Linked DNA regions of Diceros bicornis minor. The protein of the gene in region 1 purifies or fractionates together with the protein of each later gene. This does not show direct contact. Links are inferred from orthologs where the notes say so. Each region holds a gene or a part of one and is shown in the gene's direction. Other genes may lie near its edges.

Region 1 (10,390 bases):
GGTGACTTCCCCTGCTGCTTCCAGAATTTGGAGGCCCCTCAGCAGCACTGCCCCTCCACTCAGACACCACCGTCCCTGGGGTTGGGGGAGGCCAGCAGGCCATTCCCATTGCTTGTGACGAGTTTGAGACACTTGACCTGGGCCACGGCCAGCAGTGGCTCCACCCCACGGCCTGGCCCATTCACCAAGGGTTGCGCACGGGCCTCTGAGGCCAGCAGGGTCGGGTCAGGACCCTCATTTTGCCAGGGAGGGTACTCTGGCTCACCCTGAGCCACTGGCTGGCCTGAGACACAGGCAGATGCTCAAGAGTCCAGGGAGGTGGGAGCCAGGCAGCCCGGGCGGCACCCCTCACATCCCTGAGGCTCCCAAGTTGGGGAGGTGCGGGGTTGGTGGTGGGCGGGCTGCTCTCCCCTCATCCTTCCCAGGCCCTTGTGGCCAGTGGGGCCCATCTCGCACCTCAAACCCTCAATGCTGCCCCTTTAGCCCTGAGCCTACTCAACCATCTCCTGGACCCCCGGACACGTCCTTAGGGTCAGAATCCTCCAGAAAAGCAGTGTGGGAAGGTATCCCTACTGTGCCCCTCAGCCTGGGTAACAGGACGCCCTCAGGACACGAAGTGAGACTTGAGTCAGGGTGTGGAGGGCACCCTGGGATGGAATGCCCTGCCCTTGGGGCCACATATCTGCCGCCATGCCACTGTTGCCCTGTCAGCCCTGGGCCTGACCCTTGACTCATGGGAGCCAGTGGGGCTGTGGGGGGCTGTGTCAGGTCTGCTGGGTGAGTCGTCCATGCAGACAAGCATGACACTGACTGGCTAGGCGGGGACCCTGTACCGAGAGTGAGTGGGAAACAGCACAGTGCACGGTGACCACAGTGGCCTTTTGTGAGAGGCTGCCACGTGCCCCTGTGGGGGGACCTCCTCACCTGGGTCGGGAGAGCAGGGAAGGTGTGACAAGCCCTGAATGTGGCTGACGACGTCCCTTAGGACAGGGACCATCAGCACAGGAAGACATACAGCAGCCAGGTGGAAGGTGACAGTCACGCCGGGTATCATGCATGCAGCGGTGGACACTGGGCTGACACTGGAGCTGACCTGTTTGAGGCAAAGGCCTGCTCCCGTCCCTGTACCTCCCCAGCTTGGCCGCGGGACCCCAGATCACTCCCAGGGCGTCTGCCTGAGGCAGCTTCAGCTGAAGGGCTGGCGAGAGAATTCCAGACAGCAAGAGGGATGCAAGATGCCAGCCTGGACAACACACCTGCCCCAGTGTGAAGGGCGAGAGGAGCCAAACACAGGAGGAAAGAGGCGGGGGGACCTGCCAGACGCAGACTCGGGGCCCAGGGAGCTCCAGCCCAGAGTGTCCACGGGAAGCTGGGCCGGCCCAGGAAGCTCGAGGTGGCACCTTTTCACTGGTCCTGGGGCCAACTCTGGGTGACTGCCACAGGCACAGCACAGGGCCTGCCACCCTGCCCAGCACTGCCCAATGGGTCAGCTCTGTCGTCCCCCAGTTCTCAACCCTCTGCCCGAGCTGCTCCAATGGGTTAACTTATACTGAGCGTTGATGGAGAGATGGCGCTGCTGCAGAACTTCAGGGTCTCCACGTGATCATAACAGCAACATCGTTGTAGAACTTCTTCCTGAAGGCACAAAGAAGAGAAGGGAGCCCACCCCAATCCTGCTGTCTAGCAACAACGGGTGTTAATGCTCCAGGATGGTTCTTCAGTCTTCTTGACTGTATACCCACATTTCCTGTGCTCACAAAAGCGGGCACCATGCACGCACTGTCTCCTAGCTTTTCTCCTTGGTGTTATGTCTCTCCATCTTGGTGCAACATCTCTGCACCCTCTGTTGGGCCTGGGATGGTGGCACAAACAACACCTTGCCCTCCCCCGAGCTCAGAACGGATGGAAAAAGGACACTCAGGCCAGAGATGGAGCCCAGGGGGCTGGGCTTACGGCCAGGAAGGTGGCTGGCCAGTGTGACTGGGGCTGCGCCTCACAGGGAAGTCCACTCCTCATTGGTCAGAACTGGATAAGTCAAGGCCTCCCTCCCCAGCCTGCCCGCCCACCCCCACCTCTAGAAGCCCTGTCCTGCGCACCCAGGAAGACCATGGGGATCTGCCGCACAGTGTCCCATCTCTGTAGCTCTTTCTCTGGTGCTGGTGTTCCCCACCGCGCATCAGGCCGCGCCTTGGCGTGCCTCCTGGGTGCCTGCCGGGGGGATTCCTTTGGGTCACTTTTCATAAGCTTTCTCAGCCAAGCGGACGAACACGTGTGAGGCTTCCAAGCTCAGTTTATTTCAAAGTATTCCTTTTTTGTCTAAGTTGAAGAAAATAATTTCATTTCTGCTTTTTTTTTTTTTTTTTGTGAGGGAGATCAGCCCTGAGCTAACATCCGTGCTAATCCTCCTCTTTTTGCTGAGGAAGACCGGCTGTGAGCTAACATCTATTGCCAATCCTCCTCCTTTTTTTTTTTTTTCTTCCCCAAAGCCCCAGTAGATAGTTGCATGTCATAGTTGCACATCCTTCTAGTTGCTGTATGTGGGATGCCGCCTCAGCATGGCCGGAGAAGCGGTGCGTCCGTGCACGCTGGGGCTTCCGAACCCAGGCCGCCAGTAGCGGAGCGCGCGCTCTTAACCGCTAAGCCACCAGGCCGGCCCTCATTTCTGCTCTTAAGTTTCTCGTTTAGTTCAGGGAAAGCCTGAATGAATTTTGTCCCCAGTTAATCAAATGGAAGCCTCTAGTGGCAGACTCCCACTCCCAGAGAAGGGGAGTTGGGTTTTAAAGGGCTTCTGTAAAGAAAGGACGTGGCTCCGTCTCGGGACTAGCCTGTTCAGAAGGGAGGCTCCCACGGCTCTGTGACTGGTCTCAGCTCCAGGTGCCTGATGCAGTCCCCCTGCCAGCTCACCCCTGCTCCACTGCAGGCCCCCAGGGCCGCCCTCCCTCTCTTCAGAGTCTTCACTGAGCTCGCTTATCTGGCCCACCCCCACTCCACCCTGCTCAGACAATGTCCCCTGCACGCCCACAGCCGTAACCCACTGTGGCAGGGCTGCTGCGTATCCTCCAAGCTTTCTGACTCCCTTCCTGTCCCTGCAGGGCGGGGGCCCTGAGAAGCCAGAAGCCCGAGGGCCTTGTTCTGGTCCCAGGGCCTGGGGACACCTGCTGCCATGCGCCAGGAGGAGGATGGACGTGGACACAACCCTGGGAGCCTGGCCTGGCCGCAGCAGTGGCTCTGCAGAACCAAGGCAAGCGTGGAGGGCCCGTATCTGGGAGTGGGGAGGCAGCCTGAGGGCCAATGTCCAGGAAGTCCTGCTGTCTGTCCAGGACTCCCACACCCCACAGAGACCATGCTGTGCCATGAGGGTCACCACTCTGTCTCCTGGAAGTCTCTGAGGCTGAACAAGGTGGGGGAGGAGCTGCAAGGGCGTCTCCCGTGGCCAGCACTGCGAGGCCTGAGGCCATCCCAGCTGCATGCAGGTGAGAGTGACGCCTGCCGCCAGGACCCTAGTGGGGCCAGTGTGGGTTAAGCAGAGCAGCTCCTGTGATGTGCTGTCCTCACCCACAGCCCCAGCCCCTGCCCAGCCTGCCCTGAGGTGTGGTGATGGCCCTAGGAGGTGGCCTGGGCCCTTGGCAGGCTGGGGATGCTTCCCGGTCCCCATCCCTCACTGCCCCACTTTCCTACAAAACCCTGGGCAGCGGATGCTGTGCCGGTCCCGGAGGAGGCCGGCTGGCAGTGGCTGGGGGCTGGGATGCCTCTGTACCCGCTCACACAGGAAGGCACCACCAGGGGCAGCTGCTGGGAGGTGGCTGGTGGCTCAGAGTGCCCTGAGCGGGGACTTCTGCCCTTGCCTGGGAGCTATGAAGGATGAGGGTGGGCAGCAAGGGTGAGCAGTGTCCAGGAGAAGGTGCGGTGGCATTAGAGGTGACGTGGGGGACTTGGGGGGGCAGGGTAGTAGAAACATGAAGGTGGGCAAGTGACCAGAGGCACCCAAGGGAGGGTGGTGTGGAGGAGATGTCAGGGAAGGGCCCTGAAAGGCTATGGGCACCAGAGATCAGGCCAGATGAGGGCTGTTGGGGAAGGTGTGGGGTGGATGAGGTGTTGGGGAGCCCTGGGCTGGGAGGTGAGCAGGTCTCTTTGTGGCCTGAGCTGCAGCTTCCTCTTCTGTAGAATGGGGGTACAGCCATCCCCTGGAGGCTGCTGGGGGCATTGCTCGAGGTGCCAGGCCTGGCGTGGCTCTGTGGAGGACAGGGTCCTGGGTGGTCATGGGGCATCCTAGAAGTGATTCCTTGGGGCAGTAATCAATTCCTGGCGCTCACATATGTCCGTGGTGCTCACATCTGAGTTGGTGGTGGGCAGGCAACATGGAGTTTGCCAGCTAGGCTTGCAGGTCAGGCAAGAGCTGCCAAGGTGACAGCTGGGGGGAAGGGATGGTGGGTGCAGGGAATGGGACACCCAGAAGCAATTGCTCTCAGGCTGGCCTGGGCGAATGGGACCCGCAGGCAGTGGTGGGAAGGGGAGCCCTTGTCCAGACCCTGGATGGTGCCAGGGAGAAATTGAGGCAGGCAGGCCCAGCCGAGGTGGGGTCTCAGCCAGTCTCAAGCACAGCTCTTTGGCAGTTGGGGCTACTGCCCAAGTGACAGCCAGCATTATCAGACACCTCTTGCCCACTGTGTGCCTTGGCCCTGTCTGAGTCCAGACTGCCTGAGGACCTGGGGAGGGGAGAGCCCTGGCCCACCTTCTCAGGGTCCTGGCCAGCCAGGGGGCAGCAGGCATGGTGAAGGTGGAGACAGGAGCTGGACATCACGGGGGCTCAGCTCCCGGTCAGCCTGGCTCTGCCCTCCAACCACCCAACTTCTGGACATCTGCTTCCTTCAGTGCGCCGGTAGTTGGTGGCCGTCCAGGGCCACCTGCAAAGGTCCTCCTGTCCAGGGCCGGCGGGCAGGGAGCCCCGCGGTCTCCACTCCCTCTGGCCACCCCGTCCGCCCAGGCACAAGCTGCTCGCCCCGAGCCGGTGGGAGGCTGGCTGGGCGCGGGCCGACCTCGGGAGCCCTGGGCCAGTGGACACCGGTGTGGGCGGCAGAAAAGGGCTGCGACCTGGCGTGTGCCCTGATGCGGGGCCGGCTGTCCGCTCGCTGTGTGCACCGGGCCGGGCATCCCGTGGCCGGGGTCCTTCAGGGAACCTCGCGGGGGCGTCCCCTGACGCCGCCCTCCGGGACGCCACCGCCCAGGGGGACGAGCCCAGTTTCCCGCCGCCGGTTCCGGCTCCCCTCGACAGGGTCCCGGCCACGCGGCACGCCCAAGGCCCCAACCCCACATCAGTGCATCTGACCGCGCCCCCTCGCTCTGCCTCGCCTCACGCCCCAAGCCCGCCTGGGCGCTCTGGCCCCGCATCCGCGCTCAGGCCCTGCCTCCTCTTTCCAGGCTCCGCCCTTCCCTGCGCTCCGGCTCCGTCTGCCACTCTCGGCCCCGCCCACAGACCTGGCCCCGCCTCCATGTTAGAGGCTCCTCCCACACGTTCTTAGCCCTGTTTGTGCACCGTGGCTCCTTCTAGCGGTCCCGGCCCCGCCCCACGCTCTCCGCCAGCTTTACGCTGCGGCTCCGCCCCACACTCAGTCCCGCCCCACGCCCCGCCCCCGCCCCACGCTCCTGGCCCCGCCCCACTCCCTGCCCCCGCCCCCGCACTTCCGGGCGGCGCCGGCGGGGGCGCTCCGGCCTGGGCTTCTGCGTCTGGGCTCCGGCTCCCCGCTCAGGGAAGCGATCGCGGCCGCTGCCGCCGCCGCCGCAGGACCGGCTGGAGTCGGGCCGGAGCCGCGTCCCCGCGGAGCAGGCCACGGAGAGCGGCGGCCGGCCTCGGCGGCGCCCCGCGGCCTGCCCCGCGCCCACCTCCGGGCCGCCGCGCGATGGGGGCGGCCCCGGGCCGCGCCCCCGCCCGGTCCCGCCCGCCGCACCGCCACTGAGCGCATGGGCCGCGCCGCGCCGCGCCGCTCCGGGAGCCGGGCCCGGGGCCCCGCCGCCGCGCGCGGGTGAGTGTGCGGGCCGGGCGCATTCCCGAGGGCGCGGGCCTGTGCGGCCGCATTGTAGGCCGCGTAGGCCGGGCGGGCGGGACCCGGAAGAGGGGCTTGGCGGGTGCGGGCCAGGAGGGCGAGGGGAGGCTATGTGGGCCGGGAGTGTGTGCGGGGAGGGTATGCGGGCTCCAAGGGTGTGAGGGGAGGCTGTGCGGGCTCCGAGGGTGTGAGGGGAGGCTGTGCGGACCGGGAGTGTGTGCGGGGAGGGCATGCGGGCTCCGAGGGTGTGAGGGGATGCTGTGCGGGCCGGGAGTGTGTGCGGGGAGGGTATGCGGGCTCCGAGGGTGTGAGGGGAGGCTGTGCGGGCCGGGAGGGTGTGAGGGGAGGGTATGCGGGCTCCGAGGGTGTGCGGGGAGGCTGTGTGGGCTCCGAGGGTGTGAGGGGAGGCTGTGAGGGGGCCCTGGAGTGTGTGAGGGGAGGGTGCAAGAGGAGGCATGCGGGAGGGCCCAGGCTGTGCGGGGGGTTGGGGTGGGGCCTGTGAGGTCCAAGGCTGTGGAGGCAGGCGTGTCAGAGGGGGGATGCTAGCAGGGGATGGAGAATGCGAGAACTGTTGACACTGGCGTGTGTGAACACGGAAGAAGCAGACTTTGGTTCAGGAAGTGCAGACTCTTGGTTTGGGGGAGAGGAAGGGTGTGAGGAAGACCCCGGTTTCCGAGAAGGGGTGGGTGGTGCTCCTGGAGGAACCTGGGGTGGGAAGCTGCTGCGTTTGATTGTGTGGTGCCAGGTGTGTTGTGGTTCTCCTGCCTGGGGTATGTTTTGTGGTGTGGGTGGGGTGCAGAGTAGCTGCTGGGCCCAGACATTCTGTGCAGGGATCTTGGAGAAAGACAGGGCAGTGGAGCGTCCCTTCCCTCTCCCCCCAGCAAAGAGTAGGAGTGAGTGAATCTGTGCCCTGGGCTGCGTCCAGCTGTGGGTGGCCTGTCCAGTGGCTGTCCTCTCTCAGATTGATGCCTTGCCTCCAGCACTCTCTCTCGGGTGTGGATCTTAGATTCTGCCTCCACTACATGTTTTGGAATTCAGTCCCCCATGGAACCAGAGCTGCACAGCCAGGGCAGTGAAACTTGTAGCTCGGCACAGAGGACAGTAGAGAATAATACACCAGATCTCTGGGGATTTTTCTCAGCCCATCTCTAAGATAATTTGTAAAGAGTTCTTATTGTGCATCTCGGCTTCTCCTCTTTGCTTGCATTTTATGTTCTTTGCTTCTTTAGGAAGAATCTCGGGCATACTTAGACCCACAGGCTCTGTTTTGGAGAACACACACAGTCTAAACGTGACCTCCCAAGATAGTCGGCAATATCTGGGTTTCAGTTTTAAGAACTTCTATTCAGGGACAAGGATGGGAGAGCATGCAAAATACAGTGTTTCTGTTTGATTTTCAGCAGGTGTTGGTGTTTCTTGGATTTCTAGTTTCAGAAAAGCTAAGTGGACTTTTTTGGGTTACATTAGTCATTGAGAATTGAGGTGGTGGGGGAATGCATTGTGTGTAAAACAGTAGACCTGACCCTTCAAGAGTTTAATTAGCAGACAGTTGGGAAAATGTCATTCTTGCTCTGTTACTTCCACAGTCCATATAGATCAAAAGTTCAAAAGTTATATTTGACTAAAATAAATAAATACATACACATCTGTAGCATCGAGCTGGCTGCCCTGGTACCCAGGGGGTATGCCTCAGCAGTGACTAAATGAGATTTTAAATGCCGTATTGGAGTTGTAGATTCCTTCTATGGAATCCCTTTATTGATGGTGGTTACAGGCTGTTGGCCAAACTCAGTGCTTGTGGGCATTTGACTCTAACCTGAATTAACATAACTGCTTTCTGTGTGGTATGCACACGTGCGGACACTAAATGCTGGTGTGCTCCTCTGTGGGAACCCAGAGGTTGCAGGACCTGGAGCACGTTTCAGTGTCATCAGTAATTTGGAGAGGTGTTCATGTGCTCCCAGGGACACCAAATGTCTCTGTCAGTTGACAGCCAAAAATAGATGTGAATTACAAGGAATGTTTCTTTTGGGCAATGAAACATAGTTTAAAATGATTAGAGGGACTTGTTCACACATGAATTAAAATGTTAGTTTTTTAAGACATCCACTGTTTTGTAATGAATGGCTGGGTCTTGAATTTGCTGCTTGTTCTATAGCACAATAATTTAGCGTCTGTAAAGAGTTAACATTTGGCATCTATGACAAGTGTTGTTTTCCTTTATGTCAATGAATTAAATATTTATTGGTGCTCATTAGTTGCAAGACTTTGTGCTAGGTGCTGTGGGTTCTGCAGAAAATGTTTAAATCAGCCTGCTACAAATAATTTACATAGAAGACATAAGCACCTTAAGAGAAAGTGACAGTGACTCCTAATTAGCCTCCCATTTGCACACAGTGACTTGGTTCTTTCTCAAGGCTAGTGAACTACAAGGCATCTCCAAGGGTAAGGCTCAAGGGCCAGGTGCTGGCCCTCTTTCCTAAGATGGCATCCCGGACAAGAGGACATTAGACGTCCACAAGCTGGTGTGGAGCTGAGACACCGAAGGTGCTCATTCCAAGTTGATAGGGCTCAAAGAAAGCAACTTTGCAGTTGATGTGGTCCAGGAGCAGCAGGGTGCCATAGCCCATGGGCCTTGACCTTAAGAAACAGGGCATTCCTGCCAAGGCTGAGATTACAGCCTACCCAGTAGTTTACATAGAAAGTCATTAGCTGCAGAAATGTCATTTGGGGCACATAATTGTGACCTATTCTCTGTCTCTGGATGCTTCTCGCTTCTAGCCATCTGCAGCTGCCGGCAGGTGAAGTGTGTGCAGCATGAGAAGGCAGGTGTGAGGGGGTGGATTACACGTATACCAGTGTGAAGTAGCCCTGAGTGTGAAGTGGTGGCTGGGGAGAGCTACCCTTTGTGTTGGAACCAGGTTTTAGGGTTTTATTTTGCTCCCTCTGGCTTTTTCAGCGCTCCAGGTGGTTAGACTGGACATGCTTCTAGCCAGCCCACTTATCTCATGGCAGGCCATGTTGCAGTCACCCCCATGGCCGGGTTTGGAAGTGTAGCCAGAGCTCGTGGGCTCTGTGAGCTCCTGTAGGATGCAGCAGGGAGGACTGAAGACCATGCAGAGTCCTGATCCAGGACAGTCCCCCCTCACACCCCAGGCAGGCTTATAGCAGCAACAGCAAACCTGTAGTTCCTTGACCTCCAAGAGGGTGGGTGGTTTGGTTTTCAGCTTATGAGTTAAATTGTGTGAGCTGTCTGCTTCCTTAGCTAAAAGGTATAATGGTATTTGGTGTCATTTTTCTGTACCTTCTCTGTTTCTCAGAGTACTCAATTGCCGTTTGTTATCAGAAGGACACTGTCTTTATAAGCAAGGTTTTAAAAGTGCAACTTTCTGATGGAAGCACTTGCAAGATGGTCACATTGGTGATGTAGCAGGCCCCTGTGTGTGTGCGTGTGGTGGTGTCCTTTGATCATTCAGTTGAAGATGCTGAGGGTGACCCACGATGGGCTGCTCTCTCAGCAGTGTTGAGAGTTAAGGGACAACTCGCCCATGTGTCTGCACATGTTGTGAGGCATCCTAAGTGTGAAGTGGTGGGGCAGGCAGAAAGATACAGTGGCTTTCGCCTGGACAGCGTGGGAGCAGACACGCCCGCCCACCTTCTGGTGTGCGACATGCCTTCCTGTCCGTATCTGAGTCTCAAAGAGACCCTGTGGGGCAGGAGGGCGGTCATCCTTATATCACATGTGAGGGACCGGCTCTCACCCAAGCGTGTACGACTAGGAATAGAAGCTCCTTTCTCTCCTCCAGTCCTCCTGCCTTCGTGGAGCTGGCAGAGATGGACCGGTCACTGAGCTCTGTAACTGAGACGGGAGGTCCCCAGGCTGCTGGTTTCTGATGTTCTCGCAGAATGACACTTGAAGGGAGAGGTGCTCTCCATGTTCTGGGCATTCATTTCTTAGCACCGAAGGCGTTCCTATGGTTATAAAAGTTGTTAGAGATTGTTTTAATATAGCACAAACCTTGTGACAAAAGATTGAAAATTTAAACTGCATTTCTGGTTTAGAGTTCGAGCGGGAGGGCGTCATTCCAGGTCTTGTCTTGAGAAAACCTCTTGGTCATGTTTCCATGGACCCACCTTTCCTAATCCTTGTCCTCTTAATGGTTTCAACAGGACAGATTGATTCACTTTGGAGCTGTAAGTACTGATGTATTAGGGTGCAGCGCTCATTGTTCATTGACGCACAGAGTCCCAAAATGAATATCCAAGAGCAGGGTTTCCCCTTGGACCTCGGAGCAAGTTTCACCGAAGATGCCCCCCGACCCCCAGTGCCTGGTGAGGAGGGTGAACTG
Region 2 (9,593 bases), on another chromosome or scaffold:
CATGAAAGACCCATGTTATCAATATTGATTTTCTTTGCCATCCAGGTATAGGTGCATGCTCAGGAATATATTGCAGCTCTTTTCTCCTTTCTTCCATAGCTGCTCAAGGCCTGGAGCCCTGTTTTTAGGAACTACGTAAAGCGTGCAGCTGATCATTTGGAAGCATTGGCAGCCATTGAGGACTTCTTCCTGGAGCATGAACCTCTTGGTACTTCCATGGCCAAGGTAAATACCATCTCAAGCCCCAAAGTCCTGCATTTGCTTTGAAACAGGCCTTGGTAACCTTGTGGAGACACAAAACAGGCTGACGTGAATCCAGTATGGAGTTTGGTTAACAGCACCATCCACCCCTAGTGTTGTGCTTATTGCTGGGATAGTACAGCTTGGAGCCAGGCTAGTAAGGCAGCCATTTGAAGGTTGCCCTGGGAATGTGCGAAGCACTGCCCAGCAATAGTTCCAGAAGTTATACCTGTTCCAGTACCAGCGTGAACAGCTTATTACTCTTGTCTGTTTTGGAGGAGGCTGCTCAGTGTGTAGAAGGAAGCTGAGGGCCTGATAGAGAGAGATGCTAAGATCTTACCTCCTCTTCCCCCGTTATCCATTATATCTTGCTGGACTCTGCAAGGCCCCTGAGATCTCCTCTGCTGGCCTTCTGCAGGTATTGATGGCTTTCTACCAGCTGGAGATCCTGGCTGAAGAAACAATCTTGAGCTGGTTCAGCCAAAGGGATACAACTGATAAAGGCCGGCAGTTGCGCAAGAACCAACAAGTGAGTCAGGTTGCCCTCCTCTCACCACGGAGTGGTTGTCTTGTTCCCTGGCCGTTGGCCCTAGATTCCAGGATGGTTGGTCCCTGGGACTCTGATTGTTAGAACTGTTTATCCACGAAGGAGAACAGGAGGGTTATGTGTCCCTCTCTCAGTAGCTATCCACTCTGCTTTCTTACAGCTGCAGAGGTTCATCCAGTGGCTAAAAGAGGCAGAAGAGGAGTCATCTGAAGATGACTGAAGTCACACTGCCTGCTCCCGTGGGTGTGGTTGATTGCCCTCCTGGCTTCTGGGCCAGGGCAAGCAAGAGGCTAGTTGCAGAAGGTTGAGTGACCACCGTCTGAGCTGAGACTTAAAGGAGCAGAGGCTGGAATTACAGTATTCTTCCCACCGCCAGCAACCACGTGCCTCCCATCCCCACTGGGGAATTGGGATGAGGGAAGCTGGGCTGGAACAAAGCTCTGCCTAAGGAGGAGCGAAACAGGCCCTGTAGTTAGAGGAAGGCCAGAGGAACAGCTTTGTGTTCTGGCGTTCCCTCAGGGAACAGCAGAGAGCAGCTGGCCCTCTCTGCTGCTTGTATTTGTTAATATTAAAAAAGAGAGAGAGGAGTGTATTTGGTTTCCTTCCAGCTCTGACTGATCAGCCGATGAAGTAGGCGACCAAAGAGTTCTAAACCTCTGACATGTCAGCTTTTCCTTAACACCTGGGGGAGAGGGCGAAGAGGGCTATTATGGCCACTAGGTGGTACTGTGGTGCCTCGCTAATTGACCATTGCCATGGCTTATGGATAGTGGAGGGCCTAGATTCTTTTCTAGCCTCTATGGACCAACTTGTGATCCTGAGGTGGTGTGCCTGAGCCTTTTTCCATAGGGAGTCCTAGTCCAAACACTTTTCTGCCAGAGGGTGATGATGCCAAGTGTAAGTCAGTCCATTAACCACCTACCAGTCCCTCATGTACTTTGTCCAGTTGATCCAGTACTGCTGTCAGGGAAGCTGAGCTACTTTTCATCTTAAAGAAAAGGAAATTTGCTCAAGGTCTCATGACTCCTGAGGGGTAAGGCTAAGGACTTGAGCCTCATAATCCAGCACTTGAGCCTCATAATCCAGAATTCTTTCTGCTTCAGCTTATTCAGTGTCCAGGTAAAGGGAAATGGCCCTCACAGGCAAATATAACCCCAAGCCAGCAATGGATATCCTAAGACAGAGGAAGATCCTGTGAAATGGGCTTTCCTCTGATATTGAGAGACTGATTACTGTATGATAGGCATTTTGCTTTTTTTTTTTGCTAAATATTTTTCATGTGTTATTTTAGTTAACCTTCACATCAGCCCTGTGAGGTAGGTCTTATCCCCATTTTCAGATGAGGAGCCTGAAGTTCAAAGAGGTCCCATAGCTGGTAATTGATAGAGCCAGGATTTGTTATTGGACTCTAAAGCTGGAATTTGTCAGTTTGCTGTATTGTCTCCTCTAACCTCAACCATGAGACATGCCCTTCTAGCTCATCTTTTTGAGCTCTTGGTTGCCTTCCTATAACCCTTACTCTGTTGACACTTAAACTGTGGCAAATGTTACTGGTAACAAGTAGCCCTCCTGGACATCATAGATAAAATGGTTGCCTTTCTTCATTTCATTTGGGTGGAAAGGAATAAGCTGAGGAAGAGGATACTGAACTGTACTCAGGGGTTTGAAGGGGCATTACTGAGTATTTCTAAAGAAGAAAAGATAGGCTGGCCGGGGTTTGACTTAATTTACTTTTCTTATTCAATAAATCTCAGTTTCTGTTTATGGCATGGACCTAATAGGGGCAGTTAAATACAAATAGTTATAGGGCACCTCTGATTTGTACCTAATGGGTGGCAGAGATCAGAAGTGGCCTATAGAACTTTTTAGGAGGAAGAGGGTCCTTCCAGTTGGGGTGATTAGGGAAGGCTTACAGGATTGTGATGCTTGAGTGGCCTAAAAAACAGAAAAGGTAGAATGGCAAAAGCAAAGCCAAGGATTTCTACTTAAATGTGCAAATTAAAGACATGGGCTTTTTACTCCCTCCAAAACCCATTCAAATGCCAGTAAAGGACTTCAAAAAAGGCACATGATTCAATGATAAGGAAAACAGGAGGTGATGACAATAATGAGAGACATCAACATTTTGGAAAATGAAAAATAAATGGAAGAGTGAAAGTTGACCTGGCAGAGCAGAATGAGATGGGTTTTACCTGCTGAGGTGGTTATTAACAAGAAGCAAACCAGTGTGCCCTTCTGGACCCAGAAAAGGCTCAGCAGAGGAGGTAAGGATTGGGGCTGAGAGCTAGAGGTGAGGTGGAAGGAAATTCGAAAAAGATCTGTTTAAGAAAAAGCCCCCCAGGTCCCCCTCATCTGATCCAGCCAGGTGATTACCGCAACTTCTCCCCCGCAAGAAATGGAAGATTGAGTCTTTGGAGAAACGATGGGGAGGAAATTATCAAAGAAATATTTACAAAGGTTTCCTAAACCCATAGGTCATGAGTTTCCAGACTGACAGAGCCCATGAGCACCCAGCATAATGAATGAAATAGCCCCATGAAATTTCAGAACCTCAGGGAATACGTAAACTATTAGAGCCTCTGGACTCAACAGCAGGCATGGTAGAGATGCGGGTGAGGGGCTAGATTGAAAATGAGGGATTAAGTGATAGTATATGAGTGGTAAGGCTCTGAATATCAGCATACACCGACTTATACTCCCAGGCGAAAACAAACTGAACAACTGCAGAAAAAGGACCTGCAAATACTTAACATTTTTTATTTATTCGGGGAGAAGTCATCTTTCCCCCACTGGATCACCCTACAGTGAAGCCTGTTAGTTAATAAGCCGTATGCATGGACAGAGCTCCCAATCAGCTTTTTAGTATCTCACTCTTAAACGTGAATAGACTGCTTAGGGCCATCAAACATTTGAGGAAACTTCCAGCGTGAAAGGCAGAGACCAAAACACAGAAAATTGAAACGAAGGAAACAGTGACAAAGTAGGGAGCTTTTTGAAAACTTCAGGAGGGGAAAGCTATAATTAGTATTCTCAAAACTCAAAGAGGAAAGATATTGTGTCTGTGAAGGAACAATTGGAGAACAAAAGAGTTCTTAGAAATTAAAAATAAGTAAATGAATTATTTCCTTTTGAGAGCTGGAGGACTAGAGAACCAAATAGGAAAGAGACTGTACATCCATCCTTATGTACTTGAATTTTCAATCGGGAATATTTTACCTATCCAATTGGATAGGAGAAAGGTTGGAAATAATGTTAACAAAATCTTGCAAAGAGATGAAATCATTTAAAAATAAAAGGAAATGGGGGCCGGCCACACATATTACTTTAATAAAATTTAAAGTAAAGAGAAGGGTATGAAATGAAAATATACAAGGTGTGTGCAGGGGCTAGCAAATAGGTTGATTTGCTGAAGTAAAAAATTTAGCCAGGACATACTGAAACAAAAGGCTTTAAAGGTAGGAAAAAGTTAGATTATGGAAGGCTTTGAATATCATGCTAAGAATATTTGGAAGGCATTGGGGAATGTGGAGAGTTCTGAGCAAAAGAAGTGTCTGAAAGAGGTACAGTCATGCGTCGCTTAATGACAGGGACACATTCTGAGAAATGCGTTGTTAGGCGATTTCATAGTGAACATCATAGCATGTACTTACGCAAACCTAGATGGTATAGCGCACTACACACCTAGGCTATATGGTACTAATCTTATGTATATTCGGTCCATTGTTGACCAAAACCTCATTATGCTGCACATGACTGTACTTACTCTTGAAATGCTAATTTGGCCACAGTGTACAAAATGGAGTGGGAGGAGCCCACACTTGTTACTGTGGCCTAAAAGGACCTTTGTGATCTGGTTCCAATCTACCTTTTCAGCCTCATCTACCACTATCCCTATAGTCACAATGGCCTGCTTCTTGTTCCTCAAATTTGGCGAGTTTATTCCTGCCTTAAGCCTTTGAATTTGGCTGTGCCCTCTGCCTGGAATGCAGACTCTGGTCTGCCTGCTGCAGACCAGACCTTCTTATAGCTGCTTCTTCATTAATTCTAGGTCTTAGCTCAAATGGAAGAGGCCTTCTCTGACCACCCATAATCCTCTTTCCGGTTATTATCACATCACTCCATTTTATCTTTTTCATAGCATTTGTCACTCTAAAGTTATTTAAATACAAGCTTGTGCCTCCTTGCAGATGAGCCAAGGTCCTGAGGGCAGCCTGTCTTGTTTTTGCTGTATCTTATACAGTTTGCCTTGCACATAGTAGGCACTCAATATTTATTAAATGAATTAAAAGCTAAGGAGTGAGGAGGTCTATTAGGAACTGCTTATACCTAGTTCTCCGTTTGAGAGCATTTTCATTATTGTACCCATTCTGGATTCAATCCACTTATTAAACCACTACTTTGCACCTAGGTACTGAGGTTTTAAGAAGGAATTAGAACTCGATCCTGTTCTGTCCTCAAGGAGCTCAGTTTGGAGACTCAGTGAGAGCAGTTGTGCTTCTCAACAGACCCTAAATGGCCATGTCGAGGTCACTTTCTTCCAGCTATACATGATCAGAACCGCGCTCCCCCTCCCATCTCTGGGAACCAAAGGGACCCCTGCATTTCACCCCTGCCAGCTGCAGAGGAGCAGCCAAGATCCCCCTCGGGTCCAGAGCAAGGTCCTTGAAGAGTCCAGGAAGGCGGCCATCCTAGTGAGATCTGCCCTTCCATCTCTGGGGGCCTAGGTGACCGTCGCGACGCTCGCCGCGCGCCTGGGACCGGAGCGCAGGAGCAGGAGCGCGCCGCCCGGCCGGTGGGCGGGGTGTCCGCGGGGCCAGGCCCGGGGCCAGGACATCTGCCGCGAGGCCAGCGCGGCTGGCGGCGGCGGGGGCGGGGCCGCGCCGGGGCGGGGCCGCGCCGGGGCCAGGGGAGGGGAGCGGGCCCGGCTGCAGCCCAGAGCCGAGAGGGCCGCGGCCACCGGAAGAGTCGCCGTCGCCAGCCGAGCCGAAGAGTGGGGAGCGGAAGCGGCGGCCGCGGCGGCGGCAGGCGGCGCTGGGACCCGGGAGCGGCTGAAGAACAAGGGAGCTGGCGCCGCGGCCGGCCGCCGACTGGGCTGAGCCGCTGGGTCGCGCCGAGCGCCGCCGCCGCCCGAGAGGCCCGGCCCGGCCGCCCAAGCAGGCCGCGCGCGGGCCGCCGGGCCCGAGGCCGGAGCCATGGGCGAGACCAAGATCATCTACCACCTGGACGGGCAGGAGACGCCGTACCTGGTGAAGCTGCCCCTGCCCGCCGAGCGCGTCACCTTGGCGGACTTTAAGGGCGTTCTGCAGCGACCCAGCTATAAGTTCTTCTTCAAGTCTATGGACGACGATTTCGGGTGAGGATGGCCCCCGCCTCGCCTCTGGGGGACCCCAGCCCCTCCGGCTTCTGGGAGCCACTTGGCCAGTTTGGACTCCCCTTTGCTACACTGGCTCCTAGCCCTGCTCTGGATTCTAAGGGGCGACCCGGCTATTTGGGCCCCCTTGGCTTTTTCAGAGGCTGGAGTTCAGCCCCTCGAGGGACTCTCGTTTCCCCTCTTTCGGGGGACCTTGGTCTCCCTAGTTTAGGGTGACGTTCAACTCCCCCAAAGCAATCAGAATTTCAGCCCAGTCAAGTCCCCTCACCTCCTCAGAGACCAGCGGCCCACATAGACAGACACACACCCCCCTCCACCCAGTTCCAGAGCCAGAATCCCCAACCCTCCTCCTGCCAAGGGAGCCACCTTTGTAGCATAGACTTGGGGTGTTGGGCACTCGGCCTTCGCCTGCTCCATCTTTTCGGCTCCACAACTCAGAGCCATATTTGGAGTATCATGCATCTAAGGGCTATGGTGCAGGACTTTGAACTGGAGGAGGGGGTGAGATGGAGGGTGCTTAGGCGCCAGGCTGTAAGCTAAGGCCTGCAGACCTGATGTTTATTTAGCTGTCTCCCCTCTCTCTCTTGGGGTGTTCAGGATGTTATCAAGGGAGCAGAGCGCCGGCCCCTGGGAGGAGTCCTCACTAGCCCAGGTGCTGATTTTCCCTCCGAATTGGGGCCTTTTTCCTCCAGATGGTGGCCGAGGAGGAGACCTTGGAAAGGGCCTCAGAGCCTGGATGGGAGGGCCAGGAAGAGTCTCTTAGTGTTCTTCATCTTCCCCTCCCTGGCGGGGTCTTCTCCACCCAGCTGCAGGGCTTTGGACAGGCGGAGTTTGGAAGCAGCGACTTCCCCTTTAAGAGGGGATGGAATGTTGGAGCCGGAAGGTTCTGTAGCAGCTGGCCTAGGAGGGGGAGCCTGGCCGATCCCCTCACCACCCCCCCAACTCCCAGGAGACTGGGGGAGGGGGAGGCCCCCACACTAGTCTGCCCCACACTAACTGGGCACTGGGCCTGGAGGCCTGTGGGGAAGGCCCTCCTGGGCCCTCCAGGCCTAAAAGCTGCTGCTCCAGCCCTAGCTTGAGGCCTGTACTGCTCTTGGGAGCTGAGGCCCCAGAGCTGAGTGAGGGGGGACATTCTTCTCCCCAGTGTTCATCAGTGTGGCTTCTCTCCCAGGACCCCGGCCCTCCTGCCCTGGGAAGCAAAGCAAGCACCTTCTCTCTCTTCTGCCTGGCATGTTTTGCTGTCACCTTTCCCCCTGGAACTCAGAGTTCCATGAGCCCATGAGATCATAAGTGCTTTATATAGTGGGAAGTGCTATGCAGCTTCTAACTCCTGTTTCTGTTGTTGTTGTTCCTGCCCTGGGGTGGGGTACTCCTGGTGTAGTAATGATTATCTCGCTTCAGTCCAGAGAAGGACACCCCTGATTGGAAGATTCTGAAGAGGGATCGATCTGCTGGGGGTGGGAGTGAGGGGGCAGATGCCTTGGCCTGGTAAGAGAATAGAGTCAGAAGAGACCAAGATACTGCCTCAGGGTATGAGATAGGGGGAAATCAGCTAGAGTCTACTGTAGTAGGGGGCCACCCTGGGGCCAGATGCCTTGAGGGACTAGGATAAGTCTGTGTCTCCAACCGCCTCTCATCCCTGAGTCCCACTCATCCCTGAGCCCACTGGGCCTACCCCCACCTCCTGAGCCTAGACCTCTCTGGGCTGCCTCCCACTCTCCCCAGGCTGCTGTCAAGCCAAGCCTAACTGCAGTCATAGGAGGGACCCCATTACATCCACTCACTGCTGACTTAATATTGTTCTTTAAATCCACTGTCAGTCCACTCACTCTTTCTTAGCTTGACCCAATCAATAATATGAAATCACAGGTCCGATTTTTTATCTATATTTCTTTCTAAAATATGTGAAAAATAAATACTTAACTATTGAATTAAACGTTCATTCAGGTACACGCGAAGCCATCTTGCATACCTCAGTGGTACTTGAACCATCCTTTGCAAAATATTAGAGGAAACCAAAAAATTAGAGCCAATTTAACAGGGTTGAGAACAATGCTAAAAAGAAGTGGAGGAGGTTGATTTTGTTTTTATCCCCAGAAAGATTAATGAGCAAGAGAGCTGGTAGGGCTGTCTTGTCACAGAGGAATAGCTGAGGAGCATGTATATATCTATATCTCACTTACTTAACAAACTCTTTCTATGTGCTTACAGTGTGCAGGCACTGATCTAAATGCTTTTCAAATCTTTACTCATTCAATCCTTTTAACAGCCCTGTGAAATAGGTGTAATATCTCCAGTTTATAGATGAGGCGACTAGAGCACAGAAAACTTAAGTAACTTACCCAAGGTCACACAGCTAGTAAGTGGCAGAACTTGATTCAACATCAGGAATCTGCCTCCACAGTGTAGGGCCTTAATCACACAGTTGTAAGTATTATTATTATCACCATTTAACAGATACATCCTCTCTGAGGGAGATGCTGAGCCTTGGCAAACTGTAGAGGTGATAGGGCTGCCACTTATCCTAGCCCCATGAGAGGAGGGTCAGGGCAGAGGTCAGGAACCCCTGCTGACAGATGGGAAAGTAGGTCAGAGGAGGAAGGCTGCTTTCATTCAGTCTCTCCAGGCTCACCCTCTGAGGTTCTGGTTTGTAAGGCCCAAGGACTCCCCAACTCCCATCTGGTCTCCAGAAGTATTTGTCAAGCTCAGGGTAGGCACAGCCTTCTTAAGTCATTTGAGAAATGGAAGAAGAATAAACATTTTCAGCACTGAGGAGATGGTGGGGGGAAGAACAAGGTACCCACTGCTGGCATGTCCTTGAGCTGTGGGAGGGAGCAACATGGGACCTTGGGCCACTCACTGTGTTGCTCCCTGCTCCGTGTCATACCTGTCTCGGGCCTTCTACCTGGAGCACTCTTCTTCTCTTCTCTTGTCTGGTCCAAATTCTCCTGTCCTCTGGGTTAAGCTTTTAAAGTTACCACACTTTATTCTGTTTATCCTTACACCTACCTGGCTCCTAGCCAGGACCTGACACCTAAGTAATCAGCAGATGTCTGTCGAGGGAACACGTCTGCTGCTCTTACGGCTCTGACCACTTCCTGCTTGTGGTATACTTAGTGAACTGTCCATTGGACCGTAACCCCCGAGGATAAGGCAGGCTCCAGGTCTGATGCTTCTTGAGGTCCATAGCATCGCAAGCACAGGACTTAAAAGCCACTGGGCTCTCAGCAAAGGCCTTTTAATTGAATGAATGATGAACGATGAGCAGATTTGTTTGGTCGCTGCCCTTAGAAACTTACACCTCATTAGACAGAGTATGGATCCTGCTAAAATTTGACAAAGTTAGTAACTATTTTTATTGTATGACTGGACCATGCCAGCCATTTACAAATCCCATTTACCAGGATGAGAGACAAAGGCTTGGAATAGTTAAGA

Evidence for each region. The genes of interacting proteins can lie anywhere in the genome.
Region 2: the proteins of AXIN1 (region 1) and DVL3 purify together in Homo sapiens (affinity purification with western blotting; 3 studies listed by BioGRID and IntAct, with this or other methods). This does not show direct contact. The link is inferred for Diceros bicornis minor from reciprocal best matches to the Homo sapiens genes AXIN1 and DVL3.

What each region holds. Positions count from the first base shown.
Region 1 is NC_080765.1:47,943,171-47,953,560, forward strand, and holds the start of AXIN1 (axin-1), read left to right. Parts: upstream 1-5,910; 5' UTR 5,911-6,020; intron 6,021-10,211; 5' UTR 10,212-10,294; coding exon 10,295-10,390. UniProt on the Homo sapiens protein: Component of the beta-catenin destruction complex required for regulating CTNNB1 levels through phosphorylation and ubiquitination, and modulating Wnt-signaling.
Region 2 is NC_080754.1:39,517,320-39,526,912, reverse strand, and holds the start of DVL3 (segment polarity protein dishevelled homolog DVL-3), read left to right. Parts: upstream 1-5,747; 5' UTR 5,748-5,979; coding exon 5,980-6,140; intron 6,141-9,593. Other genes in the region: EIF2B5 (translation initiation factor eIF-2B subunit epsilon), read left to right, coding at 100-225, 659-769, 948-1,007. UniProt on the Homo sapiens protein: Involved in the signal transduction pathway mediated by multiple Wnt genes.